Notamacropus eugenii: one gene and its partners. The protein of the gene in region 4 interacts with the protein of the main gene of each other region in a pairwise test. Links are inferred from orthologs where the notes say so. Each region holds a gene or a part of one and is shown on either strand. Other genes may lie near its edges.

Region 1 (8,117 bases), on a different chromosome or scaffold from region 4:
CAACGTGAAAATAGGCATAAGCAAAGCTACAAGGAAAACTGCTAATTGGACCCAAGGCTAGCAAGAATTCCTTGAAGAGTTAAAGAAAATGATAGAGGAATAATTGGGAAAAGAAATGAAAGTGATGTAAAAAATTATGAAGAAAATAAGCAGCTTGGTAAAAGAAGCCGCCCCCCCCCCCCCAAAAAAAACACTAAAGAAAATAACACCTTAAAAAATCTAAATTGGCCTAATGGTAAAAGAGGCATAAAAATTCAATGAATAAAAGAACTCCTTAAAAAGCAGAATAGGACAAATGGAAAAGGAGGTACAAAAGCTCAGTGAGGAAAATAATTCCTTAAAAATTGGAATTGTGCAAGTGGAAGCTAACAATCTCATGAGACTTCAAGAAGCAATAAAACAAAGTCAAAAGAGTAAAAACAATAAAAGAAATAAAATTGAACTATCTCATTGGAAAAATTATTGACCTCAGAAAAAGAATGAGAGATAATTTAGGAATTATTGGACTACCTGAAAGCCATGAACAAAAAGAGTCTACACATCATATTTTAAGAAATTATCAAGGAAAAGCGTCCTGATGTTCTAGAACCAGAGGGTAAAACAGAAATTGAAAGAATCCACCAATCACCTCCTGAAAGAGATCCCAAAATGAAAACTCCCAGGAATATCACTGCCAAATTCCAAAGCTTCCAGGTCAAATAGGAACTATTGCAAGAAGCCAGAAAGAAACAAATATTGTGGAGCCACAGGTTAGGATCATACAAGATTTAGCAGCTTCCAAGTTACAACGGACAACTCCTACGGTTTCAATCACCTCTATGCAGATGACTTTCAGGTCTACTTGTCCAGAGCTAATCTCTCTGCAGACATCTAGTCTCCCATCTCCAACTACCTTTCAGACACTGCCAACTGAAGGTCCAGCAGACACCTTAAATTCAACATGTCCCAAATTAAACTCATAATCTTTCCCCTATGCCCTCATAAAGCTTAACATCTAACGATAAAGCGTATGTATAGATAAACTATCTTATAAAATACCCAAGTGAATTATCCAAGCATAAAAACAGTACTGTATGGAAAGATGTTGTTTTTGATTCGGGAGACTCAGAGATGATTTCTTGAAGAAGCAAGAATTTTGAGTTGGCCTGAAAAGATGAGCAGAAAATCAGAGGTGAAGAGGAGGGAAGAATACTTCAGGCACAGAGAACCTCAGAATGGCAGGAAAACACAGAGCTGCAGTGTAACAGGATAAGGTTGGAAAGATAGGGTGCTACCAGATTTTAAGAATCTTCAAAGACAAGCAAGAGAATGAACTTTACTTGGCAGAAAGGTTCATCTGGGAGCAGTAAGAAGGAAGGATGGCAGAATTCAGTAAGTCAGTCAATAATTATGCGTTACTCACTATGTGCCAAGAATTGTGCTAGTACAAGGAATACAAATGTGATAAACAGTCCCTGCCTAAAGGAACTTAGAAATCTGAAGAGGGAAGACAACATATAAAAGAAAGCTGAAGGGGAGGTGGGGGAGGGGGTAAGGGATGGTGGAGAAGGCCAAAGGAGGACAGTCAAAGTGGAAAATGAATGGAGGAAAGGCAGAGGGGAAAGGGCTCAAGTTGGGCGAGAGACGTATCTGGAATGAGCGATACTCGTTAGGCAAAGGCTTTCAATGGATGTTTCCTGGTTGAAGCCCCCATTACAGCACCACGTGCCGAAGGGCACACCTTGGAGGCGGCTACAAGGCCCGGGCCGGGGGTGTCACTTAACTTCGGCCCACCTCAGCTTCCTTCTCCAGGTGCCCAGCACCTGGCACTGTGCTTACTCACCATGAGGGCACTCTTCCCCAGCACCTTTAAGAGGGAGGGACAGCTGCCGGCTTTGGGATCTCCCCGCCAGGGGACAGGGGCTATCTCAGCACGGGTCAGGGATTCTGGCTCCCCCGTAGCCCCACGCTCCCATTTCCTCCGCACACTCGCGGCTCTCAGTCCGCAGCAGCTCCGTTTCTGAACGACAGAACTTTACTTTTTGGGCTGGAGGGATTTCTCCTCCCTTTTCCAAAGAGCCTTCCCCAGTTCCCCCAAGGCAGGGGCATTACTGCGGATTTCTCCCGCACAGACGGCTGGCTGGTAAACAGGTGTTAGCTCGCGGCCGAAGGCACGGCCACAGGCGGCTTTACTTCCCCAATTTAACCACGCCCTCGAGAAGAGGTCGCGAAGGGCTCCGTGGGCGGGAGGGGCAAACGGAGCCCCACGCCGAGCTCCCTCAAGGGCCGGTCCTCCGTCGGTGCGGGCGGCGGGTCTACGGGTCAGTCAGCAAATACTCATTGCCCCCCTACTGCGCGCCGGGCCCTGCGCCAAGCGCCGGGGACACAAAGAGGAAGAGCCGGCCAGGCCCCCTCTCGAGCGGTCGCGGGCCGATGGGGGAGGGGGCGCGCCCCCCAGGGGCAAACACGCGGGATAAAGTGGGTCTGCGCCCCAGCGGAGCCCCGCGCCGCGCCCCGCCCAGGGGCAAAGAACTCCGAGCGCGGCCACAACCGCCCCCGGCCCGCCCGGGACGCCCACGAGGAGGCTCCGCCGCCGGACACCTGCACACGCGCGCATGCGTGCATCCCGTCTCCTCCCCCGCCCCCCGCCCCCGGCTACGAGAGCGCGCCCACGCACGGGGCGGGAGTTAGGCGAGCGCTAAGGTCCGCCGCGCCCGCGCTCATCCCCTCAAGCCGGCGCCACTACCTCTCGGCGATGTAGAGGGTGCCGGTGCCCAGGCCCTTGCCGTCCAGCACCGCTTCGGTGTCGGGCTGCTGCTGCCGAAGCCCATCTTCTGGGCTGGGCGGCGGAAAACTCTTCAGGAAACTCATTCTGTCAGCGGCGGCGGTGGCGGTGTCCGCCCGCGGACCAGGGAGGGGGGCTGGACCGCAGGCGAAGGAGACACGCTCGCCCCGAACCCGGAAGGAAAGGGGCCGGGCGAGGCTGGCCACCCCGGAAGGACTAGGACGGCTAAGCCCCGCCCACCGCCTCCGCTCTGGAGTAGTCAGAGCCTTTCTAGGAAGAGTGGTCGCTGGTCTTGGAAGACCGGCCCGCCTCCCTCCCTCCCACCCATTCTGGTCTTGGGGGCGGGACACGTGGTTTCCAATCCGGGCTCTTTCCTGGACTCGCGGTGTTTTCTGGGCCACTCGCTTGCTCTCTCCTGTCCGAGCCTCAGTTTCCCCAGGTGTAGAATGAGCCCCTGGAAGGGGAGGGCGTTGACCTAGCTCCGCCCGAGGCAGCGTGGCCCTGGCGTGGCGAGGCCCGGGAGGGGGAACCTCTCTGCGGGTGGGGCGACCGGTCCGGATGGTGGTCGCTGGAAACGTGTGTCCCCCACGATCGGTGAAGCACGACCTGGGGCGTGCTGGGCATGCCCCGGAGGGCAGGTGTTGGGCATGGGCCAGTTGGTGCCCGGGCCCCGGATGGGCAGTGCCCCCAGGAAGCTCCTGCGCTGTGGGTGCCCGGTTGGACGGCCGTTTGATCTCCTGACCAAGGGCTCCGGAGCGAAGCCCGCTTCTGAGATGCCAGGAGAGGATACTCGGAAGGGCAACAGGATTGCGTCGTGGGGCCAGGACCCGCGTGGGCCTCGCTGCGGCTGGAGAAGCTCGCCGTCTTTTGCGTACCCGCTTCTTGGCCGCTGTCTACCAACAAGATATTTTAAGTGTTCTGAACGAACCGTTGTAGGGGGAGAAACAGGAACCACAGTCACTTCAGGACGTCTCGGTGGCATCTGAGCAGTGCCCAACATCGCAGTCTCCAGCCCCCAAGCCAGGGCACCGGAAAGCCTGCGGCAGGTGGGCTTTAACCGCTGTGGTAACCCATACTTGCTGTCTTAGGATGAAGAAAGCCGGCCGTTTTGTTTAAAGGGCTGTTTTCACCACAGTAGAAGTATTGGGGCTCTTCCCTTTGTCTCCTGCCCTGGAACTGGAATGTATAAAGCCTGCCACTGGCATTCCAAATATTCCCCTTTTCTCCCTTGACTCATTTCTCTGTTTACAGAGAAATGTTTTACTTCTCTATCTATGCTCAATTGCCACCGGTCTCACAAGCTGAAATGCCATTGCCATTGGCCATGGCTGTGAAAGGCTAAACAAGCCAAGTCCACACCAGAAAGCTGATTTGCTGTTATTGGAATGTTTTCAGCAAGTCCTCTTATCTTTGGCTCAGTTACCAACCCTTGATGGGTAGGCTCCCAAGAGGTCAAGAAAATTCCCCAATAACCAAGTCTCAGATTTAGAAGGACCATTAGATAGCAAAGTGGTCCCACAGACTTCTGTCCTGGGCCCTTTTCTCTTCTATACCGCTTTACTTGGTGATTTATCAACTCCCATGCATTTCATTACTATCTCTATATTCATGACTTTCAAATCTGTCTATCCCACCATAATCTCTGCTGACCTCTAATCTCCCCTTTCCAATTGCCTTTCAATTATCTCTAGCTTGATACAATTGGATATTTTAAATTTAACACTTCCAAGATGGAACTCATTCTCTTTGGCCCTAAACCCTCCCCTCCTGTTATCCTCCTGTTATTGTAGAGTTCCCAGTCCCTCAGGTTCATAACCTAGGAGTCATCCTGGACTCTTCACTTTCTTTCACTCCCTTTATCTGACCTGTTGCCAAGGCCTGTTGATTTCCATGTTCCAGCATCTCTCAAATATGTCCCCTTCTCTCTTCTGACATTACCACCACCATGGTGCAGGTCTTCATCACTTTGCAATTGGATCATTACTGCAGTAGCCTGCCGATGGGGTCTGCCAGCCTCAAGTCTCTCCTCTCCAATCTGTCCTCCATTCAGTCACCAAAGTGATATTCTGTAAGTGTGGGTCCAGCAATGTCATCTTCCCTCACTACTCAGTAAACTCCAGTGGCTCCCTCGTGCCTCCAGCAGCAAATACAAAATGCTCTATTTGGCATTCAAAGCCATTTATAAACTAGCTGCCTTTTACCTTTCCAGTTTTCTTTAACCTTCTCCCTGCCACACAGTCTTCCTTCCCTGGCACTGGCCATCTCTTGACTCTGGGCATTCTCCAGGGCTGTCCCCCATGTCTAGAACACTCTCCCTCTGGCTCTGACAACTGACCTCCTTGGCTTCTCCCAACTAAAATCTCACCTCCTACAGGAAGCCTTCCCTAACCCTTCTTAATTCCAGTATCTTTCCCCTTGCTAATTACTTCTTGTTTAGTGTGTGTGTGTGTGTGTGTGTGTGTGTGTGTGTGTACAGTTTGTTTGTGTATATTTGTTTGCTAGTTACTATTTGCAACGTCTATTATGAGTTCCTTAAGGGAACTGTCCTTTGCCTCTTTTTGTATCTCCAGTTATTATCGAAGCAACTGGCATAGTAGGTACTTAATAAATGTTGATTGATGGATTGGATTAGTCCAACTCTCCAGTCAGTGGTCCTGTGCCAAGCCTGATGAGTGTTCAAGCAGAAATTTCTAGAACATCTCTAATAGCTCTAATGCATTTCAATCCATTTTCAGAGTTCTTTTTACTTAGAAGTTCTTCTCTATAATGAGCTGAAATCTATATTTCTTCTATTTCTATCTATTGGTCCTATCCATCTATTTTTAATCTACTGATCCTAGTTTTTGCTCTCTAGAGTACAGTAGAATAAGGCTAATTCCTTTTTCACTTGATAGCTTTTCTAATTCCTGAATACAATCCCTGATTTCTCTTCTTTAGGCTAAATATTCCCTTCAATTAATCCTCATATGGGAATGTTTTAATTCAAACATCATTGTTGAAAATGTCATATGGAGAGTTCAATTGGGAAAATCATAAAGGGAGGAAGGAGATGTTGGGGTGATGGAGGTGGTAGAAGAAATGCTTTTAGGATGCACTAAGCCACAGGAGATGACATGCCATGTTGGTAAACTTGGCTTATCAAATCAAAATTTCAGGGCTAGAAGAAGCCTTAGTGATTATCAGATCCAACCACCTCTTTTTCCTAGAATTGTAGAGTGGGGAAAAAAGCTGGATTTGGAATCAGAGGACATGGTTCAAAGCTTGGCTCTACCATTTACTGTTTGTGTGATTTTGGGCAAATTACTTCATCTGTCTGGGCCTCAAGTTCCTTCTCTGTAAAATGAGAGGGTTGGATGTGATGGCCTCTAAGATAGATCCCTTCCAGGTCTCCGTCTCTGATAAAATGGTTTTCCTTCTTCTCCCTCTGCTTTCCCTCTGCCCTCTTCAGTGAAAGATCCCTTCTGCCACATTCCTGACCGCAATCCTGGCCATCTGAATTGGACTGGTTTTGTTGAACAAAAAAACTCAGGCATGCTGCAAGGATGAGAAGCAGCAGAGTAGTGACCTACAGCCACATATCAATGAACTAAGCCTCCATGTGTATGTGCAATATGGAAAAAAGTGGTGAACTCTGAATGATCATTTTGGTAACACGAAGAACTTTCCATCAGTCTTTGAAAATGGAAGACAGTAAAAGTAATGTGTATTTAAATTCTGCAGTAATGAATTATTAGAGAAATGCAATTTAAAGCAGCTCTGAGATTGATTCTACCTGATTGATTCTATCCATCAATTAAGCAGTGATTGTTAAAAATGATAAAAATGTAATACTCAAGTGATTAGGCAAAATAGGATCAATATAACCAGGAGTGAAACTGTGAATTGCTACAATCTATTTGAAAAGCAACAAAGAAGTATACAATATGGGCTACAAAACTGTTCATATCCTTTAACCCTTCACTTAATCCCTAGGACTACTACTTGGAAAGTACCCTAAGGGTTTTATTGACCGGAAAATAAAAGGGGACATAGAAACAAATAGAACAATTTTGTTACCACTCTGTGAAAGATAATATTAACACTTTTAAAATACCCCATAGTAGAAGTTTACAGTTCCATGTACAATTTAATCTTCTTTCCTATTTGGCTGAATATTTATGTTTCCTGGCAGATGCTAAAAGTACAATAAATCATTTTAAAAATATCTCCACTGAAATACCCATTGAATTCAAACTAACAATGGCCACATTATGCTCAAAGACTCCAATCAGACACTGCAGTCTGGAGACTCCCTCTAATATCAGTCCAAAATACTGGACATAGTTCACTATTGAATTAGACAATGACCATGAATTGTTGTCATTTGGTTGTTTTTTTCAGTTGTGTCTGCCTCTTCTTGACGCCATTTGGGGTTTTCTTGGCAAAAATACTGGAGTGCTTTGCCATTTTCTTCAGCTCATTTTACAGATGAGGAAACTGAGGCAAACAGGGGTTAAGTGACTTACCCAGCATAAGTGTCTGAGGCCAGATTTGAACCCATGAAGATGGGTCTTCCTGACTTCAGGCCCAGCACTCTAGCCTACTTCGCCACCTAGCTGCCCATTTATGTGTGTGTGTGTGTGTGTGTGTGTGTGTGTGTGTGTGTGTATTTTGTTTGTTGAGACTTGTTTGCATGTTGTCTCCCCCATGTGAACTCCTTGAGAGTAGGAACTGTCTTTTGCCTTTCTTTGTATCCCCAGTTCTTAGTATAATGCCTGGCATATAATTGGTGTTTAATTAATGCTAGTTTATTGACTGACTCCCAGAGTCCCTTCTAAATCTGAGATATGGGGAATATACTGTGCTAGGTTCTGGAGAATTCAGAGTTAAAACATTTTGTATGATAACAACTTAAGTTGATTTAGTATTTTATGGTTTATAAAGCACTCTCCTCATGATAACCCTAGTCACGCAAGGAGTAAGTACTATTATCGCTATTTTATAGGAGAAAGCACTGAGGCTCAAGGTCATAGTACGCTATGGATGATTTACAACTATTAAAAGTATCAGATCTAGAATTCAAACCCATGTCTCTTGGCTCCAGCCCTATCACAGCTCCAGACTATCACACTGTTGAATGACTCCTACTTCCTAGGAATTTAATGGAAAGATTAACTCAGGATTTCTAAGGATTTTATTGTCTTTGTATAGCTACAGTAAATATTGGCAACAAAAGCTGAGCACCTGGGAATTCAGTTTAACTAGGGGCTGCTACCTGGATATTCTTTCAAAGTAGTATTAGAAACATAACTACCACTCATTTACATATATGTATGTATGTACTCATTCATCTTCAGAAAGGGCTGAGGAACAG
Region 2 (7,405 bases), on a different chromosome or scaffold from region 4:
TTTCTATGCTCTATTCACTACTGAAAGTATTCACTACCTGTTTTCCTTTCTCAGGGAGGAGAAAAATGAAGGGGGAAAGCCAATTCTGTTCTCTATAACCTGCTATGCAGGGACTGGCATTCCAATGAACTGTTCCTCAAATAATTATTGTCTTTTTGTTGCTTACAAATGTATTACTCCTGATATTTAAAAAAAAAATGGTAATCACTATCACTGACTTATTTAATGATGGAGAGTTTGGGAGGGATTTTTGCCCTTAAAGAGACAGGAGACTTTTTTCTCTTTCAGTTAACTTGAGATGGGAGAAGATGAAACCTTGAATTCCCATGGGAGAGAAAAAAAGCATTATCATCCCCTCAATCTAGTCAGTCAGTCAACTAGCGAGAGAAATCATTGGGGTATATGTTGTTACAACTGGGACCATCAATATTACTGTACATGAACCTTGTGTTTTACATGTATCTTGCAGCTAGCCAAGATCATATCAATGGCCTCCTGACTTTGGTCCTTAGCCTTCTCCAGAGCTTTCTCCTGCTGCTTGGCTCAGCCAATCCAACCCAGGCCAAGACCTCACCAACCACTCACCAACTTTCTTGGCTTCTAGAACCTTTTCTAGCACTATGCTACTAGATAAGATCCCCTCAACCTCCAGTACCCTCAAGGCACTTCTCCAGCATGCTGCCAATACACTAACCCTATTCCTTAACCCCAACTGCCTGCTTGCTTGCTTTCTCCCACACACCTCAACATAAGCCAATGTCTTACTTCATATTCACCACACCTCTTTGCACTATGCTCTCTGAAATGCTTGCTCCCTTTTTAACAGTCTTCCTTTCATATAAAACTCTTTCTTACTCCTTCCATCTGGTACTGAGACCTGGCTTCCACTTGCTAGCTCTGCTTCCTTCTACAACCTTTACAATATTAGTTGCATTTCACTCATACCTCTGACTCACTGGCTATGGTAGCCGTTGGAATGAGTGCCTCTTGCTCCTCATGACCAGTTCTAGACTCAATTTCTATCACTATGACTCAGCAGGATCTCCTCCTTTGAGGATCATGATTTCCAAATTTATCCCCTGATCCAGATCCTGATGGCTGTTATCTAATGCACTGTAGGACATTATCCTTCTTTACTCAATAAATTCAGTTCATGGTTCATAGTCTTTTTCCACATCCTAACTCTTACATTCTCATTAAGGGACTTCAATATGTATATTGATGCTCCCTCAAATATCCTGACTTCTATTTCAGTTCGTATGACTTATTCCTTCCATTCTTCCTAAGCTGCACACACAAAAAAGTGATCATATCCTTGATCTTGCCATCACCCACAAGTGTTCCACTTCAGAGTTCCTTAATTTCCAAAGTTTAGTTCCAAAATTAAGTTCCAAAATTTCTCTGATCAAAATCCATTATACTTTATCTTTCCCTATGTATTACTATGTTTTTCATCCTCACTATAACCTCCATTCCCTCCATCCCTAAGTTCTTTCACAGATTATTACCTTTTCACCAGCTACTTTCTCCTGTTTTCATTATCTAAACCCTTAGTGAACAATTCAGCTCTATACTCTTGAATCCTTTGCTCCTTGTCCTACCATTGACAACACCTTGCCGAAACTCAACTTTCAGTCACTCCTACATTTTTCCTCCTTCCCTCCTATTCATGTACTGTTAACTAGAACTGCAGGAAATCCTAAGACCACATTAGTTGCAATAGTTATATAATCTCAAATAGACCCTCACTGCAGCAAGGTAATCATTCTACTTCTTCCTAGTCAACTCTCCATCTCATTTTCCACAGCAGGTATACCTAACCCTCTCATATCTCCCAGAGCCTTCCTCCATCCCCACCTTCCCTACTGAGGATCTCAACTCCTACATTACTGAAAAAATTGAGGTTATTCAACAAGAGTGGCTTTTCTTCAACTCTCATCTCACTTCATCTTGCCCTATTATTTCTTCCTTCAACAAATCTACGATGATGGGGTAGCTCTTCAGTTTGTCAAGAATAGTACCTCTATGTGCAAGGCATTTTCGAGGAATGGGAGAAAGGGAGGAGAGACATAGGGATAATAGCATGAGGGGATGGTAAAAATCTAGTGAGACTTGTATGACTTTGTCATCATGCCCTAAGAGAGGTGGGTGCCATATCTCCCAGAAGTTGTCACATCACTGTTGCCCTAGGAAGGAAGGAGTTCTGTAGTTCAGTAATTTCTCAGATTTAGCTTCCAGGAAGACAACTGATCAGGGCAGATAATATTTGGATATAGTTCTGGTTGACCCTCTCTCACCTTTCTTTATTCCATCCCCAGCTGAGAGTCCTTACTCTTAAAAGTTCTTGCCCCCTCAAGAGGCTCCATTTATCCTGGGAAAATGGTTCAGTTCTCCCTCAATTGGCAAGTCTCTTTTTCCTAGGGATAGTTCAGACAAATCATTCTTGGAAAGTTCCTGGGAGATGGAGTCATGTTGCTGGGAAGTGTCTTTCTTTTGAACCATATGAAGACGAATGTGTGATTTGCCTGGAAGAAAGGGCATCCTTGAGTTAGTAGCAAACCTGAATTCCTGGAATGGCAAGAAGGGAGTCTTTATCCGGCCATCAGTGAAGAAAAGAGCAGCTCTTCAGCGCAGGCCCCCAAAGGTGCACAGATTTGGCATTCTCCCTCCTTGCCCTACAACGGGTTCCCGGGAAGAAGATGCCATAGTGATCTGGGGAATGGAGAAGGTGGTGGTAGTAACAAAGATGATCTCATTATCAACACTAGCACTGAGTTTGCAATGGAGACTTCGCTACCTTGCTGCAAATGACCCTCACCTGTGAGAAGGATCAGTGACTGTTAGAAATACCACCTATGCAGTGGCCTAGATGGTCCTGGTAATTTTCCTGTGCATGCTTCACACTGGGCAATCACCTTCCCCACAGGGGATTATTAAAGTTTGGGACTTAGTCTTCACTTACACAGAACTGTTTGCCATTTTTTTCTTTTTTAGTGTTTATTTACTTGTACAAGGTCCTCCTCCAGTAACTTTCCTACCCCAGGCCTCTCACACCCTGAAGATCAGTCTGTCTAGTAGGAGCCCTAGTCATGTAAGTGGCCTGATAGCCCCGAACTGCCTTGTAGTTTAGACTTTATTTTTCATTAAAAGCATCCTTAAAATTAATTGGCCCGGGAAGACTCAGCTCAATTTCCTCAGCCCCCTCAGCTAAATCCTTGACTTATTCTTGATGGCCTCAAAAGGAGACAGGTGTCAGGCTTGACCAGCACACCAAAGGTGGGCAACAAATACATCAGCAGGGAAGCTGTCCTTAGTGGCTTTTTAAATGTATTTTTTTCTTTCAAATGTCCAAAAGGCTTTTTGGTATAAGGAAAAATGAACTGGCCTGGGAATCCTTGGGACCTGTCTGGAATCTCTGCCACCCCCGGGTGCTCAGGCCCCGGGACATCTTCCAAGATTTTAAAATTACAAATAGGGTGGAGATAATTTCTTTCTTTCTGAACATATTTTAATTCAGCCCATTAAATACTTCCCGATGACATTAAAACTCTTTTAACATTTAAAAAAATTGAGTTTCCAATTCTCCCATGAGAAGACAAGCAGTAAGATATCGATTACCCAAGTGAAGTCACTCCAAACCTAGTTGGAGAGAAGGCCACAAACCCGGAGGCCCATCCCAGTTAATCCGAAATTCCCGGGTGCTTTGCCCCATTAGGTGTTCCTTGTTTACTGAAATGTGCTTGCCAAGTCTCCCTTTTTCAAATTTATACCATTTTCTAACAGGCAGAAATGTTGGGATCGCCCTCAACATTAATCTACTGACTTAAAGTGAATGACAATCCTCACTAAGCCCCGGGGACCCGGAGGCTTTGGCCTGATAAAATCGGGAGAAACGGGGAAACCGGCGGAAGGATCCGGGAGCCATTACTCGATTTCGGGCGCGGGGCCACGGGGGCCATCGCCGGCCTGGGCCGGGGCCTCCTTAGGCCCACCAGCCCTAGCTTGGCTCCCCGGGCCCCGGGAGGTGGGGGAGGGGACGGGGCCGAGAACCTTCGGTCTCCCGGGGCCCTGGGCCTCTCCCTTCCCCCGCCTCCCCATCGCCAGCCTGGGCCGGGGCCTCCTTAGGCCCACCAGCCCTAGCTTGGCTCCCCGGGCCCCGGGAGGTGGGGGAGGGGACGGGGCCGAGAACCTTCGCTCTCCCCGGGTCCTAGGCCTCTCCTTTCCCCCGCCTCCCCAGCGCCAGCGCCGAACAGCCTCCATCATCCACCTCCACCTTCTCCCCCGTTAGAATATTCCGGAGTCCCGCCTCCGCCCCCCGTTACCCCAGTAACCGCCGCAGGGAGGGGGAGAAGCGGGAGGGGGCGGGGCGGGGCGGGACTTCCGGCGAGTGACGCACCTCCGCTCGGCTACAAAACTCGCCGGACGCGGCCGCGAGCGGAACTTTCCAGAAAACTCGGCGAGAGGCGGAGGGCAGCAGCTGCCGCTGCCCGAGCTCCGCGCGCAAGAACTCGCGCCCCCTCCCCCATCTTGTCTTCCTTCCACTCCATCCCCAAACATCCCCACCGGCTCCCGGGCGGTCCCCTCTCACCCCACCCCGGACGTGGGCATCGACACCGGGCGTACGGCGAGCGTCGCTCCCCGGTAAGTCCATCCCCACCCCCCACCTCGGCTCTCCCGCCAGAGCCGGGAAGGCCGTTGGCGCCTCTCCCGGGGTGCGGGGGCCGGGGCCCCGGATTTCCGAGGGGTGTTGCCCCCGCTCTGCAGCCTGGGCGCCGAACAATGGGCCTGGCGTTCTCCCTGGCCTCCTCGCCACCTCCCCGCCCCCCGCGATGTCGGTAGCTTCCCCCCATCCTCTTCTCTCCTTTTTCCCCTCCCCCCACTCCGGTCTCTTCGGTTCTTGGGGGGGGCGCACCTATTTGCGGGGGTACGGGGGCGCTGTGTGCGCGCTCTTGTCTGCGTGCGCGTCCCCGCTCCCCCGCAACCTCCCCCGAAGGAGCCCTGGATGGTGAGTGTACGTGTGCGCGCGCGCGCGTGGGTACAGGTACGCCGCACACACACGCGAGCTCCATCCCCGAGCGCCCATAGAGGTCGTGACCTCGAGTCGGGGCCGCGAGCCTCCTGTGGGGGTGCCGAGCGTGGCGGGGGGAGGCAGCGCCCACGTAGCGGGTCAGGAGACCGTGATCTCGGGGGGGGGCGCCCCGGAAAGGGAGCCTTGGAAGGAGAGGTGGGGGGCCGAGGCGAAGGCGGCCCCGGTGGGTCGGGGGACGAGGATGACCTGCCAGACGTTTAACTGGGGGCCTCACCTCGTGGTGGGGAGCCTGGCCCCGGGGCGGGGCGTCCCGGGGAGGTGGGAGGTGGGGGACCGGCCTCCGAGGGCGCAGCAGGGGATCCGGGGAAGCGCCTCCGGGCGGGGGCTTGTGGCGAGCCCTCCACCGGCCTGGGCCCCCGGCTCTTTGTCTTGTAGCCGGGTAGGAGGCGGCCTTGGGGAGAGGCAGGAGGGCTGGGACGGTCCCTAAAGGCCCCCAGGTGTGCCCAGGTGTTAGGGTTATGAAACGTGACCCAGTTCTTGGTTCAAAGGCTTGGGTAAAACCTTCAGAAATACGTAATCGATCAGCTGGCATCAATCGATTCTAAGTGCCTTCAGGTTGTGGTTTTAAGTGCAGACTGTAAAAATGGTGAAGGAGACGACTTACTACGACGTCCTGGGGGTGAAGCCCAACGCCTCCCAGGAGGAGCTGAAGAAGGCGTACCGAAAGCTGGCCCTGAAGTATCACCCGGACAAGAACCCGAACGAGGGAGAGAAGGCGAGTGGTGCTTCCTTTTTAAAGAGTCTTAGTGGGGACCGAAAGTAGGAGGAAGAGGAATCCTCTGATGACCGCTGTCCTGTCTGGTCTGCTTTGGGTTTGTGTTCTGTCTGGTTTGAGGGTCCGTGTCAGTGGGTTGACGAATCTGTGTGAAATGTGACGTGACCAGAACCTAGGTCCTGGCTGCACCTTAGAAGAACCTGCTTTACACTGTGGCCTCTTGTTACAGTTCAAGCAGATCTCTCAAGCTTACGAAGTGCTTTCTGATGCCAAGAAGAGAGACCTGTATGACAAAGGGGGAGAGCAGGCCATCAAAGAGGGCGGCTCCGGGGGTGGCTTCGGCTCTCCCATGGACATCTTTGACATGTTTTTTGGAGGAGGTGGGAGAATGCAGCGCGAACGGAGAGGTAAGCAGGGGCTTCAGAGAGTCTGCGATGGCAGTGAAACAATGGCTTTGTTGTCCTTGGAGTTCCTTAAAACGGGAACACTTTCACGGGATAGGCACCTTTCGCCTGTCCTGTACATATCTGTAGAGGTTTAAAACAAAACAAAACAACCCCCCCCCCCCCCCAGTGTTAATTAATCCTCAGCGTCCAGTTTTAATTTATTTGGATTTGGGGGGAATGCCTGATGTTACTTGACATAAATGACCCCTTTTTTGTTGGCTTCATGTCATCTGCAGTTTGAAAAGCATGCCATCTCTAAGCCATTGACAACATTCTGAGTAGAACTAGGTAAAAAGAAAATGTTGTGGTGCTTACTCAACTAGGAATTCCTTCCAGTTGGACATTGATCTATTTATTAATCACTATTCTGAGTCTGGTTGTTGAGGTTTTTTGTGAGCTTTTGCTGTCACCTCCCCATTGTGGCCATTATCCCATTTATTAATTTTTTTAACAGAAAAAACCCCCTCAAAATATTGTAGTCCACCAAAACAAATATCTAGTACCGTCCTTGTGCAAAACGTGGTCGTGTGCATCTGTATGTCTGTAGCTGCATTTTTTATCATCTGCAGCAGGAGAGGTGTTTCATCCTCAGTCTTCTGGACTTGGGGAGCTTATCATTCTTTGTATTGATCAGAGTTCTCAAAATCTTGATTATTTTTCTCTCTGAGTGTTGTAACTGTTGTATCATCAAATTTATTTCTGTTTAGTTTACTCTGAATTAGTTCATGGTGGTCTTTATAGTTTCTTCCCAAGCTATAGCATATATGTGTGTGTGTACACACATACATGTGTGTATATATGTATATATACATACCTATACATTACATAAAATTTCATTATTTCTTATATCACAGTAATATTCCATTATATTCACGTCTTCTTATTTAGCTCTAATCACCGAGTGTAGATTTTACCCACATATTTACCATGTAGCTCATCTCACAATTAGTCAACAATGAAATATTGATTAACTTTGCCAGATACCTTCTGAAATTCAGAAATAACAATAGGTAAGGATAATTCCATACACATCACCTTGGTAGAAATCTATTAACCCTCCTTTGAAAAAGATAGTTGTCATCTGATGTAATTTTTGGATAAAACTGTTGGCTCTCAATGACCACAAATTCCTTTAATAAATGCTCAGAAACCATA
Region 3 (8,088 bases), on a different chromosome or scaffold from region 4:
TTCCCTTTGTCGACCAAATGTGGACATCCTTCAGAGTTCTGCCCTTGACCATGTTCCTTCTATCTCAAAGCAAATATGTCCAAAACAGAACGATGTACACACATACACAGAATGTGTGTGTAGGTGTATATATGTATACATATATACACACAAAAGGGGGGCAGTGGGCAGCACTAGAAGCTGCAGGCAATCAAGAAAAGCTTCGTGGATGCACTTGAACAGAGCTGTGGAGGCTAGGGATTTTGAGGGAGTGCATTCTAGGCACAGGGAACAAGCAAAGAGGCAGGAAATGGACTGTAGCATATGAGAAAAGGTCAGTAGGTCAGTCTGGCTAGAACACGCTGCACATGATGGAGGTAACATTTATTAAGTCTGGAAAGAAAAGATGGAGCCAAATTGTGAAGAACTGAAAAGGCAGTCAGAAGCAATACTGAGCCACTGAAACTTCTTGAGCAGTGGACTAACAGAGTAAGATCTGTATTTTAGGAATATCAGTCTGGCAGCTATGTGGAGGATGGAGAGATCAGAGATAAAAGACTAATTAGATGGCTATAGTCTAGATGAAAGGTGATGTGAGCCTGAATCAGGGTGGTAATTGTGAGAGATGAGACAGAAGTAGAATTGATAAAGACTTGAAAATGAGGGAAAGTTAGGAGTTGAGGATGATTCAGTGGTTGAAAATTTAGGTCATGGGAAGGATAGTGGTGTCCTTGATAGAAATGGGAAGACAAGATAATGAGTTCAATTTTGGACATATTGAATTTGAGATGCCTAAGGGATATCCAGTTGGAAATGTCTAAGAGACAGCTGGTGATGCAGGATCGGAGCTCAAAAGAAAAACTAGGGATGTATATATAGATCTGTGAGACATCTGCATAGAGAACTGAATCCACTGAAAAGCTGATGAGAATACTAAAAGTCTATCTAGAGGGTCCAGGATATATTCTATCAGAGGGCAGGATATGGATGGTGATACAGCAAAACAGACAAAGTTGACAGGCAGGTAGGAGAACAAATAGAGAGCAGTGTCATGAAAACCAAAAGGAGGGAATGGTATGTCAAAAAGGATCAGGACTAGATTTGGCAATTAAGAGATCACTGGTATCTTTGTAGAGGACAGAATCGAAGGAGTAATGAGGTAGGAAGCTAAACTGCAAAGGGGTTAAAAAGTGAGGAAAAAAGGAGGCAAATAGCACAGACGGTTTTTTCCAGGAATTTGTCAGTGAAAGAGAAAATATGTATGTATAAAATAATAGTGTGAAGGGATTCTACCTCTATTTCTCTCATTTTACACAGCCACTACTTTGTGCAGACAGACTATCTGGATAGCCTAATTGGCCCAATTTGTTCTTTTTCCAATTATCCTCCAATATAGCTGCCAAATTGATATGCCAGAAGCATAGCTCTGAACATATTACACTCCACCCCTCAACAAAACATTTGAATGCCTCCCTAATGGCCTTTAGCATAAAATACAGACTCCTCAACTTGACATTTAAGGACCCCCATGATCTGGTTTTTAAGACATTTCCCGATACACTATTTTTTTTTCACGGACTCTATTCCATTCAAACTGGTCCTAAAGCTGTTTCTCTTACACAACATACTCCCTCCTGCCACTGTGCCTTTATATAAGAGATCACATAGTTCAAGTACCACCTCCTATTCCAGACCTTTCCTCCTCCTTCTCCCTCTTGAAATTGCTTTGCTGTCTCTAGGGTCTATTTGGGCTAAGATAAAATCTGGCACGTATACTTTATACTTAGGTGTATACACATCTCCTTGGTAGAATATGAACTCCAAAAGGGGTGTGTGTGTTTTTTTTATTTTGGTCTTCGTGTCCTCGGACCCTTGAACAGTGGCACTTAAATGTCTGCTGAATTGGGGTGGAGGGGTCGGGCAGGAAGATAACAAGTCTCTGCCACAGCTTCGAGAACGGTGGGCCTCACTTTCCTTGAACACTATCGGACGCCCTGTTTCAGGCACTTACTGCGTCCCCTCACTGTTGCACCCAATTTCTTGAGCTCTGGGACCACTCGCCTCCCCGCTGCCGGGCACGCACCTCGCTATTTCTTTTTATCAGCGAGGCCAACCTTTCCCCCGGACAGATCGTAATCCCATCCTCCAGGGGTTTAGTAAAGGGTCTTCCAGAGTTGCCATGGCCTAAAGACTTCCCCACCTGGGCCAAGCTTCTGGGGACAAAAGCCTCGCAAATCGCAGGCACTTAATGAATTTGTGGGGAGTACTCAGGTCGAAAAGCGGTGTCGGAGTCTCTGAATGACCTCCATTGCCTTCTTCAGACAAAAGGGCAAAAAAGAAACCCCGCGTGACTCCGGAACGCCTAACTCCCCCCCAGGCGATCTGCGGTCAGAGGGAGGCCTCGGCCGCTCGCGGACCGCAGCCCGAGGGCCGGGGCTACGGCCTGGAGACGCGTCCCGGCCTCGGCCCATGCCCTACCCGAGCCCGAGGGAGGAGGCGGACCGACGAGGGAAGGGGGACTGGCCCGGCGGCCACTCACTGTCAATGTCCTCGATGAGGCTGGCGGTACCGGGCATATAGTTCATCTTGAACCGGGAGGGGGAGGCTGGGCTGGGGCACGGTGGGGAGAGGAGGAGCGGAGCGGACCCGCCGCGTCCTACTTCTCCCTCCGCTTCAGCCTCCTCAGCGGGGCCGGTACCCGCAGGTCCACAGCCGCCAGCAGTCACTGAGGAGCTACCGGAAGTTCCCCCTACCCCGCCCACTTCCGGCATCACGTGGCTCCCATGCTCGGGGGCGGGTCGTACGGCGCAGGCCCCCGAGAAAGGAGAAGGGGGAGAGATGTGAGCGGGACCGCATTAGATAGTGGGGAACTCGTTTTTCCTCTTTAGGCTGAGGAAGAACGTGCGCCTTGCCCTTCTCAGTTCTCTAACTTCAATTCCTAAGGTTGGCCCGAACTAGCATAGACCCCCCCCCCCCCCTTCAGCCTCATTGGTCAGCGTGTGGACCATGAACGCTACTCCCGCGGAGGAGGAGCCAGGGCGGCGATTGGTTGCTTTGGCTCCGCCCCCTTTTCCCAGGCTTGTTCTTTGCCTTCAGCGGGCGCCTGCGCAGTGGGCTTGGGGTGGGGGGAGCGGGAAGTGCGGCGGCTTAGCGGAGCCAATGTCTACCCTGAGGAGATCAGGATATGGCCCCAGCGACGGCCCGGGCTACAGCCGCTACTACGGGGCTGGGCCCGGACCCGGACCCAGCATTGGAGACGTGCCCCCGCCTGGGCCTCCAGCCTCATCGCGGCCCGAGCCGCCTCCCCCTCCGCCTCCTGGCCCCTGGAGGATGCGCGGAGGCGGCCCGGCGGAGGCTGTGTGGCCCGGGGAAGGCAGCGGAGCCTGCGGAGCCTGCGGAGGTGGCGGGGGCTACTACCCCGGGGGAGCCGCCTGGCCAGACCCGTGCCGGGCCGGAGGCCACCAGGTAATCCCCGATCCGGCCAGCCCCTGGGGTCACTGGAGTCGTCCGTGCGCGGGGGGAGGGGGTTGATGTGGAGGGGGTCGCCGGGGGTGGTTGGTCCCTAGGGAGATGAGGCCCCGGGGGTCGCGTTGCAGAGGCCCGGGACGCCGGGGTGAGACCCTGTTGGAGGGCTTCTAACGGATCCCAGCTTCGTTAGTCTCCTATTTCTGGAGCATGGGAGGAGGGACAAGGTTTGTGGCCTGGGTGATGGTGTCTCACCGAGCAGCGATTGGGGGTAAAGCAAGCTGAAAAAGAAATCGTAAATCGTTTATTGCAGCCTTCCGCTCTGCACAAATGCCCAGGTTAACTGAGCTCGCCCAGGGGAGGCCTCCAAAGCCATTGGGAAGGGGGTCTGGAATGGACCCTAGGTTGCTCCCCCCCCCAGGCACAGGCCCTTTCCACCCTCTCCCCTCACCGCTCCCCCGAAGACGGTGACGACTGTGATGCCTTCACTCGGCGGCCCCTCCTGCACGTTGGGACCTTAGGTGCTGCGAGCCGGGTCGTTCCGGAGGCTATCAGCTTTTTTTCATTTTTACTCCCCACCTGCTCCTAAGCTCAGAGCGTGTCGTGATCTGCAAGTGCGTGTCTCTTCTGAGGGTCATCACTGCAGCATCTCTAGTCTCTTCCATTCGTCTGCCTGTCAGTCTGCTTCACCACCTCCGCGTTGGACGTTTCATTTAAGCCCTTCTGTCTCTTAGGTAGATAAAGGTCCTACATATTTGTTCGCTGCGTCTAGGAATAGTCTAACGTGGGGGGGAGGGGGGAGGGCGGGGTGGAAAAAGCTTTGATTGTTTAGAAGATTGATCTCTTACATCCCTGATCTCATCCATCGAGGTTGTGTGTGTGTATTCATTGGGGTTAGAGGATGGTCAGAGAACTTGGTCTTGACTTACTCTTTCAAGGTAGGATTTAGGAATTGGAAAATTATGTTCTTGGGAACTAGTTCAGTTTGATGGCTAGTGCTTTGCATGTAGGAGGTGGCCTATTAAATTCTTGTTAAATGATTGCTTAGGTTGTGAAAAAGTGGGAGATAAGGGGACATATTCGAATAATAGTAGGCCTGGAGGAACCATCCTTATTACACAGCATTTTGACTGATTGAGTCACCCATGAATTCTTCAGACTTGATGTGACCAGCAGGTGGAACCTCTATCTAGGCTTTGGATTTTATGTCTGTACTCCTTAGAGCTGGGCTACAATCAGTGTCACTTAAGGGAGGGTGGAGAATTCTACCATCTTTCACCAAGTCAACTCTTTTGTTTCTTTAATAGATAACTTTTTATTTCAACATGGCTATAATTTCATTGATTTGGGACTCCCCGTATTGGTACAAGTGGCATCACATATCCATGCTTTCTTATCCAGTGCAGTTCTTTTCCATTTAATTCCTGCTAGAGGATCCATCCAACTTGCTGGAAACCTTCAAGGTTTCCATTACATTTTTTGTATAGTAGCTGAATGGTAGGTAAAGCTGTAATTCTTTCATCTAGCCACATGACCGGTCCACTTCCTTTTCTCAGTATACATTTCTTCAGTAATATCCCTTATGCCACTTCTTGAACACAGTTTTCATCATTGAAAATATGCATGAATACAACCCAAGAAACTGACCTGTCCAAAAGATTAACAATTGGCACAAAACTTCTATATAGGTATTTGTTGTTGATAATCAAACAGGTTTGAGGACTAGAAGAAGAGATATTTAATTGACCATTGCTCCCAATGGGAGTGAACATTCTATTATGGATTTCTTTCCACATAGATTGGTTTTGTTTTTAAACTTACTGACTGAAACTGGCAGCAATGTAAAAATATTTAAAATATAATATTGTTGACTGAACATTAGAGGTAAAAATCAATAGATAAATGAAAAAGCATTTATTTTTTCCCAAATTTATGAATTTATTTGTCTTCAGTTTTCAACAATCACTTCCATAAGTTCCAGATTTTCTCCTCTCCCTCTCCAAGACAGCATGCAATTTTGTATGGGTTCTACACATAGATTCCTATTAAACACATTTTCACACTAGTCATGTTGCATAGAAGAGTTAAAACGAATGGGAGAAACCATGGGAGAAACAAAACAGAACAAAACGTAACAAAGTCTGCTTCATTCGACATTCCTACTCCATTATTCTTTCTCTGGACATTTTGCATTTTGGATGGCATTTTGCATCATGAGTGCGTTGGAAATGTTTTAGGTCCTTGAATTGCTGTGAAGGGCTAAGTCTATCAAAAACAAAAACAGTCCTTGCACTCTGTGGCTGTTACTGTGTATAATATTATCCTGGTTCTGCTCATTTCACTCAGCATCAGTTCATATTAGTCTTTCCAGGTTTTTCTGAAGTCTGCCTGTTCATCATTTCTTAAAGCACAATAATATTCTATTACATTCATATACCACAACTTGTTCAGCCATTCCCCAATTGATGGGCATTTCCTCCATTTCCAGTTTTTGGGCACCACAAAAAGAACTGCTATAAATATTTTTGTAAATATGGGTCTTTTCCCCATTTTTATGTTCTCTTTGGGATACAGACCTAGTAGTGGTATTGCTGGATCAAACAAAGGGTATGCACATTTCACAGCTCTTTGGGCATAATTCCAAATTCCTCTCTAGAGTGGTTGGATCAGCTCACAGCTCCACCAACAATGAATTAGTGTTCCAACTCTCTCACATTTTCTCCAGAATTTGTCATTTTCCTGTTTTGTCATGTTAGCCAATCTGAGTGGTGTGATTTGGTACCTCAGAGTTGCTTTGATTTGTATCTCTCTAATCAATAGTGATTTAGAGTATTGAAAAAGCACTTAATAAATGCCAATTATATACCAGATAATCACCTATGAGATACTGAGGATATAAAGACAAAAATGAAACTGTTCTTGTCCTCACTGTGCTTATTGTGTTCTAGGAGAAACTAGGGGCACATACACGTGTGTGTGTGTGTAGAAAATATATATGAAGTAAATTCAGTGTAGCTGCAGAGGGATAGGAGAGGAGGTACTAGCAGTGGGAGAGCAGGAAAGAAGATGGAGGATGCAGGCTATGGTTTTTGAACTGGGCTTCTAAGAGGGAAAAAGAAGTAGAGAGTGCGTTCCAGGTGTGGGAGGTTGCTTGTTCCAAGGCAAAGAAGCAGAAAGAAATGTGTCACTTGTGAGGAACAATAAGGAAAAGCTAGTTTAGCTGGACTCAAGAAGGTTCAAAGGTGAGTAATATGTTGTAACTCTGGAAAGGCAGTCAGGGGAACCAACATTTTATTAGCGCCAGTTAAACTTCTTGAGCATTTGGGTAAGGGGGGGAGACCTGGGCTTTAGGAATATCATTCTAGCAACTACCTGGAAGATGGCAGGATATTAGTTAGGAAGCTCTTACAGTAGTGCAGGTGAGAGAGGTGACAAGGCTTGAACTAGTGTGATGGCCTCATAGAGAGAAAGGGGCAGATAGTGCCTAGACTATTGATTAAACCTAGCAATTGATTTCATATGTCTAGTGAGGGTGAATGAAAAGTTAAGCATAACAACATGGTTGGGAACCTGGGTGATTAGGATGGTGGTACACTTGATTGGAATAGTTGTGGAAGAAAAGATATTAATAGTGTACTCTGTTTTAGGCACAGATCTGCAACAGTCAGTTTTTATTAATTTAACATTCAAAATCTCATCTAGTACAGAGAGACAAGGGTCCAAACTGACATAATCCTTTCATGATGTTGGACTTTCTCCCTCCAAGACAATTTGAGGTAACATTTATAGGAATCTCAGACTAGGGTCACAACATATTAAAATACAGTTTTGGGGCCAGCATTCCAGAATAATATTCAGTCTACTTGAACTACTGCATTTCTTCTTTGACCTCCCCTCTCTAGGACTAATTTTTTTCCTTTCCTACTCCTTCCATTTCCTGGCTTTTTCTTGATAACACAGCCTTTCTGATCACCCTTTCAAGAAGTGGTTACATTTACACTCATATCCCAAATCACCACTTGAGGTGAGGGAATTGAAATGCTCTTTGCTTCCCGTTGCCACTTATTTCCATGTTTTCCCTCTGTTACCATCACTCTCCTCCTTTGAGGTTCACTCAATTAATTTCTACCACCCAAACAAGATTCTGGTAGCTGTCATCTGTCATCTCCACAGTGTCATCTCCAGGACAATTCTTCTTTTCTTAATGAGTTCTGTGCTTGGCTCACAGTTTTTTCTGTACCCCAACTTCTATCTTCCATCCAGAGGGCATCAGTCTACATATTGATAGTCCTTCAAACACCCAAATCTAGTTTCTAAATCTACTTATTTTCTAGGAACTACTACTCAAACACCATTTTCCCCCAACTACACACAAGGGGATGCCCTTGAATTTGGCCATCACCTACAAACGTTTCACTGTCCTGTTCATGACTTCTGAAATTTCCCTTATCTGATCACAATCTCTAATCATTTTATTGCCTCTCTGCCTTTCAACTTCAAAAGCTCTTCTTTTGTCCCTCCCTGACCTCCTCCCCTGTACTTTACACCCATATTGTCTGTATACTCATCTCTTCTCCATCTTGACCCTTTGGTGAACCAGTTGAACTCGACATTGTCCTCTTCATTCCAGGCCTCTCCCTCCCC
Region 4 (7,668 bases):
TCACGCACAAGAGCTAGGTAGGATTTACCAGAAGATAAGGGGGGGGTGTAGGGTGGAAACTGGCAAGACAAGGTTAAATTTCACCCTCTTTACAGTTTTGCCTAGGACTCACTTTGTCCTTTATATAAGCCTTACTCTACAACTCTGGATTCCATGCTACTAAAATTTGTCCTCAATAGCAAAAATGTCAAGTCAATGAATTCTCATCCATATGACCAATCCATCAGCAAACATGTATATTAAATGCTTACAATGTGCTAGGCAGCATGCTAAGTGCTAGAGATAAAAACAGCCCCTATTTATTCTTAAGAAGCTTACATTCTAGTAAGGGAGACAATGTGGAAATACACAAGTATATGGAAGATACAAAGTATATGGAAGGTACTCTTAGAGGGGAAGGCTCTGGCAGTTGGGAAGGATCAGGAAAGGCCTCCTCCAAAGATGGGATGTGCTTGAGCTCCTGAAGGAAGCCAGAACTGGACATGAGAACATTCAGGGAATGCTGGACTGCCAGTACAAAGGCACCCAGAGAGGAGATTCTGGAGTGAAGAAGATCCAGTAGGTCAGAATGGCTAGACCGTAGAGTTGTTGGAAAGAGATAATATTTAGGAAGACTAGAGAGGTAGGAAGGGACCAGGTTACAAAGAGCTTTAAATGCTAAAGAAAGAATTTTATACATGATCCTGCAGATAACAGAAAGCCACTGGAGTTAATTAGGGGGAAGTGGCAGGGGGTACCACAGAATTATATGATTAGACCTGCACTTCAGGAATATAATTTTTGGTAGCTGTGTGAAGGATGGATTGGAGTGGGGAGTGACTTGGGAAAAGTCAAGAAGCAGACTAGAATGGTTAACTTGTAAAATTCACAATGTGTAGGAAGAGGCTAGGTGGTAAAGAATTTTAAATGTCAAACAAAGGACTTTATACAGGATTCTGGAGTTAACAGGAAGCCTTTGGAGTTTGGGGAAGGAGGGGTATGACATGGTCAGACCTATACTTTAAGCAAATCACTTTGGTAGTTGTGTGGGAAGATGGATTGGAGTGATAAGAGACCTGAGACAGAGAGATTAATTAGAATGCTACTGAAATAGTTCAGGCAAGAAGCAATGAGTGCCTAATCAAGTTTAAACTCTTCACCAGTCAGACCTGACTGGCTGTCTCCTGAAAACACTGTGCTCATTAGCCCTCTGCTCAGTGTTTCACCTGGAAATCTCTTGTCCATTTCTATCTCAATTCTATGATCTCCATGCCTATCCAAGTTCTATCCGTCTCTCAAGGTCCAGCTAATATATTGACCTTTCTCTTCCCTGAATTCCTTTAAAACATATTTAATATACCACATCATCTAGTATCTGGTAACATATTGTTTGGTACTGTATTCTTGAATTTCTCCCCTTTGCAAGACTTATATTCCCATTCTGACCGTAAAGCTTAAAAGCAGAAATATGTCATGTACTCTTGTATGCTGCACCCAGTGCCTATTGCAGAGTGTAAGTTACACAACATTAATTAAGAAGCCTTTTTTCAAAAGACCTCTGTGGAAATTCAGCAAAGTTGCCTTCCTCAGCTCTGCAGGAAGACTCCTCGGTTGCTCCTGTGCACATTACCTCAAGTCATTCTTGAGTTCCACAACCACATCCTTTCCCACAAGTGACTTGAAGAAGGAGTAGAAGAGCTGAGAGAAAGGAAAAGGGGGGAAAAAATCATGAAATGGGGCAGAGGTGCACTGATCACCCATTTTCTATTCCTTTTATTGATGAATTCTTTTCAAAACGGCCATTTGGGGGAAGAGCCCAGATGGTCATCCCACATTTTCTGGAGCACGATGCTGTTTGCTTTCCTCCATCCTCTCTCCTTCAGTCCTCCTTTCACGTGTAGTTCCATGATTAAAAAGCAAGCTTTTTGCTTACATTTTCATCTGTGATTAGCACAGTACCTGGCACATCGTAAGCACTTAATACAAGCCAGTTACTAGCTCTGTTAACTTGGCCAAATCAACCCCAATGACCACACCTGTAAGATAAAAATCTCTAAGGTCCGTTCCAGCTGCAGAATTCTATATCCTGTGGTTCTAACAGTTCCTTTCCAGTACATCATCCTTTGTCCTCTCTCCACCTCCTCCCCAATCAGGAGTATTACCCTCTCCTTAAGACTCAAGGACCACCACCATTTAATGGCAATAATGGGCTGCAGATTTCTCAATTGTCCATTACACAATGTCCCCAAAGTCTCATTGCTATTTCGGACTAAAACTTTGGGACATCCTGTACTGTTACTTGTTGAGGAGAGGGGTACCTAAAGCGCCGGGGATGAGTTAGGTGGCCCATGTGGACAGAAGGGCAGACTCGGAGTCAGGAAGAACCGAGTTCAAATTCTGCCAGCTGTGTGACCATCAAGTCTGTGCCTCATTTTCCTCACTGGCACCCACCAAATTGGTTAACCGACGGAAAGCACTATCTGTACACGTTCGCTATCACTTCAACATCCACAATTCAGGTCCCAAGGGAGCTTTGAAAGAGCAGAAAGGGTTAACCCTTTAATTCTAAACGAGGCATAAACTGAGGCCCGGAGAGGGGGGAGGCGAAGCGCCCGAGGTTCGCCCGAGGGGGGGAGGGGGCGAGGGCTGGGGCTCGAATCCTGGGCTCTCCGAACCGCCCGACCCCGCACCCTTCCCAGTTTCCGGGGAAGGGGGAGTCCCTCCCCCCTACCCTCCCGTCCCCGCGCCTCCGAACCGAGTCAACGGTCTCTTCGGGAAGCGGTACCCCCGCCTATGACGTCACAGCCCCTACCATGGTCCTCGCACCGCGGCTCGGGTCCGGGAGAGGAGGTGGGGCGGCTTAGCTGGGGTTGCGGGGGAGTGTGGGCCGCCGATCTTTGCCACCCGAGTCCGAGCCCAAGGCCGGCGCGCGCGGGCGCGGGGGGCGGGTGGGTGCGCACGTGCGGCGGCGGGCGGAAGGCGCGAGCGGGTTAGGAAGAGACACCAGCCTCAGCTCCCCCAGCTGCAGCCTGAGAAGGGGAAAAGCTCGGAACCTTAGGGTTGAGACTTGGAGGCTGGCCGGAGCTTATAGCCTGCTACCCAGTTCCAGAGTCTCACTGCGCAGGCGTTGTTTTGGGCTCGGGGGTTGGGGTGGCTGAGGTCAACTTGGTTAATGACATATTCAAGGATTGTCCTGTGCAGTGGAGATAGAACGACGCGAGACAAAATTACTATGTAGCGAGTGATATGGGAAGAAAATCATTTACTAAGATACATTCTGGGATCTTTCCACCACAACTGGGTGACCTTCCTGTAATAATTCGTGTTTAAAAAAATAATCGCCAAGGTTCTGTCTTGGAGCTTCTTGTCCCTCCATACTATTTACCTTATTGATCACATCAGTTCCTGTGGATTCAATTATCATCTTTATGCTGATGATTCTTAGACCTACTTATCCAGCCCTAACCTCTTTCCTGACCTCCAGTTTCTCATCTCCACCGTCAACTGGACAACTCAAAATAAACGTCAAATTTATTTTTTTAAACGATGTCCTTTTTTTTAAAAAAAAAAATCACAATAATTTCCCCCAGTATACCTTCTTCTCTTTTTCTTAGAGGGTCATTTCATATAACAAATATTTTTTCTTTCTTAATAGTACTTTTTTCAACTATATGTAGTTTTCAACATTTTATAAGATTTTGAGTTCCAAGTGTTTTCCCCTCCTTCCTGTCTCTCCCCTTTCCCCAAGAAAGCAAGCAATCTGATATAGGTTATACATGTACGATCATGTTAAGCGTATTTCCATATTAGTCATGTTGTAAAAGAAGAATCAACAAAAGGGGAAAACCATGGGAAAGAAAAAATAAAAAACGAAGTGAAAATAGTATGCTTTGATCTGTGACTCCATAGGCCCTTCTCTGGATGTGGTTAGCATTTTCCATCACAAGTCTTTTGGAAATATCTTGGATTATTGTTATTGCTGAAAAGAGCTAAATCAATCATAGCTGATCATCTTACAGTGTTGCTATTACAATGTTCTCCTGGTTCTGCTCACTTCACTCAGCATTTGTTCATATAGGTCTTTCCAGATTTTTTTGAAATCATCCTGCTCATCATTTCCTATAGCACAATAGTATTCCATTACATTCATATACCACAACTTGTTCAGCCATTCCCCAATTGATGAGCATCCCCTCAATTTCCAATTCTTTGCCATCACAAAAAAGCTGCTATAAATATTTTCATACATGGAACTCCTTTTCCATTTTTAAAGATCTCTTTGAGATACAGCCATATAAGTCGTATTACTGGATCAAAGGGTATGCAGAATTTGATTGCCCTTTGGGTATAGTTTGAATTGCTCTCTAGGATGGTTGGATCAGTTCACAACTTCACCAACAATGCAACAATTTTGTTGGACACATCTTGTCCAACATGTATCATTTTCCTTTTCTGTCATATTAACTAATCTGATAGGTGTGAAGTGGTACCTCAGAATTGTTTTAATTTGCATTTCTCTAATTAATAGTGATTTAGAGCATTTTTTTATATGTCTATAGATAGCTTTAATTTATTCCTTTGAAAACTGCCTGTTCATATCCTTTGACAATTTAGCAACTGGGAAATGACTTGTGCTTTTATAAATTTGACTCAGTTTTCTATATATTTGAGAAATGAGGCCTTTATCAGAAACACATGGAATTGATTTCACAGGACAGCTGGGATATCTATGAGTCCTATAGGAGAAAAGTGGTTGTTGTACTAATATTCTGTCTTTATTGGTCCCCAACCAACATGACCCTATATTTAAACCTTTAAACTAGCCAATAATTCTTCCTTCTCCAGCCCCCACACTTCATAATCAGTATGCTGGGACAGTATTGTAGGACTGTTCTACATGTCCTTAGCTCTTCTTAGTCTTTGCCTTCTCAAGCTTTCATATGTCACAGACATATGTACACTAAGACCCATTTATAGTTGTACTTTCCATGTCACACATATTTAGCCAAGCACATAATATACTGATAGTCATTTTATTAGTGGGACTCAGGCTTTTTGGGTTTTTTTTTTTGCATGTACTGTAATAAAGACAGATTGAACCGAACTGTCTTCAGTTTCCCCATTTGTGACCAACTGCCAGTGGTTCTCTATAGAAATTCCTCTCTTCAAATAAATGATATACTCTTCCTAGTCCCAGTGAGCAGTTCTGAGTCTATCAGCAACTTGTGGGCCCACAGCTTCTCCTCTGATAAAGACCAAGTTAAAAAGCCATAACAAAAGCATAATCTTCTACTACTGGTACCCCAATTGCTAAGGTCCTCTCTCCCCAAACTTTCTTGTATTTAACTTGTTTGCATGTATTTGTATTTATTAACTTTGGTTTTGTCATATTTATATATAGATTTGCTCCCCCCCCCCATTAAAATGTATGCTCTTAGAAGTAGGAACAACATATTTTTAATTCTTGGATTTAGTACAGTGCCTGGCACATAGTAGGTACTTGATGTGAAACCCCCAAAATTGTGTGCTGAAGCCTGTTTTTCCTCTATTTATTTTGGTTGTGCAACTTTGCTTCCTAAATCCATGAGAAAGTCAATCATCATCCCATGATGAAATTAGAACTCTTCAAAAACAAAGGATAATATAATATTGGTGATCACATCAGCTCCTGTGAATGCAATTATCATCTCAATGCTGATGATTCCTAGATCTATTTATCCATTTATCCTGAGCTCCAGTTTCTCATCTTCAACTGTCTATTGGACATCTCAAAATAGATGTCCAGTAGACATCTTAAACTCAAAATCATGTTCAAAATGAAATTCATTATCTTCCTTCCCTTGCCCTCAAGTCCTCCACTCTTCCTCATTCTGTTTTACTGGTGAGGACGCCATCACCTTCCCAGTTAGCCAGACTCACGACTTAGGTATCATCCTTGATTCCTCATTCTCTCAACCTCCATATCCAATTTGTTGACAGGTCCTGTCAATTTTATCTTTATAACCTCACTTGTATATGCCCCCTTCTTCTTTTACCTTGCCACCATTCTAGGCCAGATCCTTTTCAGTTCATACCTGGATTATTATGATAGCCTGCTGGATGGTCTTCCTGACTTGTCTCTCCCTACTCCATTCATTTGTCAAATTGATCTTTCTGAACAACAGGCCTGACCCTGTTATGCTTCTACCCCATTCCCATCCAAGAAACTTCAGTGGCTCCCTATCACCTCCACCTATCACCTTTGATTCTCAAAGTCCTTCATTACCTGGCCTCCATCCTATTTTTCCAGTCTTCTTACACCTTCCTTATCTCTTCTTACTATTCAATCTAGTGACACTGACCTCCTTGCTCTTCCTTGAACAAGAGAATCCCTATTGCTAGTATGCCTCTAGTCTCATTTTGGCTTTGTTTGAGTCCCAGCTAAATCCCACCTTCTACAGAACTTTGGCTCCCTTAATGCTAGTGCCTCTCCTCTGATAATATAACAAATTTATCTCGTACACAGTTGTTTGTATGTTGTCTCCCCCATTAAAATATAAGCTAGCAGAGGGAGGTGTCTGGATTTTTGTTTTTATGATGCCTTTCTTAATATTCCCATTATTTAGCACGGTGTTGGGTCCATATTGGGTGCTGAATAAATGTTATTGCCACTGGACATGGAGCAAACCAAGAGGTACAACTCCCCACTGTTACTGAGTCTTAAGGAAGGAAAAGAGTCAAAAAACAAAATTGAAAAGGGCGCATATTTTAGTCATTGAGTATACTTTATTTGAATGCTTGGAGGTAGAAGATGATATGTCAAGTTTGGAGAGCAAGTTAGTAATCCAATTTTGCAATAACAGAGGGGAACTAATGTGAAATAAGGGCTGGGAAGCTAGAATGGAGTCAGCTTGTAGGGAATCTTAAATGAAGCAGTTTGCATTTTATCCTCAAGGCAATAGAGTATCACTGAAGGTTTCTGAGAAGGGGAGTGTCACAACCAGATTTTTGCTTTTTTTTTTTTTTTTAATTATTGTAAGACAGAAGGGACCGAAATTAAGAAGACTACTTAAGAGGCTGTTACAACAACACAGGTGAGAGGTGATAAGGACTTGAACTAAGGTTGTAGCTGTAGGAGAGTATGTAAGTATGAGAATGTGAATTCCAGAAATAGAGTGGACATGACTTGGTAACTTAATTAGATATGGAGAGTAAGGAAGAGTGAAGACTCTAGAATGACTGCAGGGTTTCCAGCCTGAGAGGCTAGAAGTATTATACAGCAGTTCAACTGAAACAGGAAAGTTTAGAGGACACTTGAGTTGGGGAGTAGCTGGTGGTAAGGGATGAATTCTTTTTTGAACACACTGAATATGCGAGATGCTGGGGGCATATTTGGATATATAGATTCCACAAGGTGTTGGCAGAGTGGAGTTCTAGCAAAAGATTTGGACTGGGTTTACAGACTGGGAATTATCAGTTTAGAAATAATAAGTAAATTCGTAGAAGCAAATGAAATCTCCAAAAGAGTACATGCAGAGAGAAAAGAGAAAAGGAGGCCTAGGACAGTCTTGGGAAACTTTGATTAGAGAGCATAAAATGGAGGATAATCCACCAAAGGAGACAGAAGGAATGGTCAGAGAAGGGAAACAGGAAAGTCACAGAAATATTTAGAAGTAGGTAGTCAATAACAAGCAGTAAAAACTGCAGAGA

What was found.
Region 1: the proteins of LSM2 (region 4) and CLNS1A interact in binary tests that used the Homo sapiens proteins (3 or more experiments, as listed by UniProt). The link is inferred for Notamacropus eugenii from reciprocal best matches to the Homo sapiens genes LSM2 and CLNS1A.
Region 2: the proteins of LSM2 (region 4) and dnaJ homolog subfamily A member 1 interact in a two-hybrid assay, tested with the Homo sapiens proteins (2 studies listed by BioGRID and IntAct). The link is inferred for Notamacropus eugenii from reciprocal best matches to the Homo sapiens genes LSM2 and DNAJA1.
Region 3: the proteins of LSM2 (region 4) and LSM1 interact in binary tests that used the Homo sapiens proteins (3 or more experiments, as listed by UniProt). The link is inferred for Notamacropus eugenii from reciprocal best matches to the Homo sapiens genes LSM2 and LSM1.

The regions. Positions count from the first base shown.
Region 1 is NC_092876.1:125,811,528-125,819,644, reverse strand, and holds the start of CLNS1A (methylosome subunit pICln), read right to left. Parts: upstream 3,157-8,117; 5' UTR 2,851-3,156; coding exon 2,726-2,850; intron 1-2,725. UniProt on the Homo sapiens protein: Involved in both the assembly of spliceosomal snRNPs and the methylation of Sm proteins.
Region 2 is NC_092874.1:312,841,939-312,849,343, reverse strand, and holds the start of dnaJ homolog subfamily A member 1, read left to right. Parts: upstream 1-4,351; 5' UTR 4,352-4,641; intron 4,642-5,577; exon of another isoform or gene 5,578-5,663; 5' UTR 5,664-5,672; coding exon 5,673-5,804; intron 5,805-6,033; coding exon 6,034-6,211; intron 6,212-7,405.
Region 3 is NC_092872.1:622,806,374-622,814,461, reverse strand, and holds the start of LSM1 (U6 snRNA-associated Sm-like protein LSm1), read right to left. Parts: upstream 3,001-8,088; 5' UTR 2,751-3,000; coding exon 2,519-2,750; intron 1-2,518. Other genes in the region: BAG4 (BAG family molecular chaperone regulator 4), read left to right, coding at 3,139-3,444. UniProt on the Homo sapiens protein: Plays a role in the degradation of histone mRNAs, the only eukaryotic mRNAs that are not polyadenylated. Probably also part of an LSm subunits-containing complex involved in the general process of mRNA degradation.
Region 4 is NC_092873.1:85,494,289-85,501,956, forward strand, and holds the start of LSM2 (U6 snRNA-associated Sm-like protein LSm2), read right to left. Parts: upstream 3,100-7,668; 5' UTR 2,795-3,099; coding exon 2,792-2,794; intron 1,678-2,791; coding exon 1,610-1,677; intron 1-1,609. UniProt on the Homo sapiens protein: Plays a role in pre-mRNA splicing as component of the U4/U6-U5 tri-snRNP complex that is involved in spliceosome assembly, and as component of the precatalytic spliceosome (spliceosome B complex).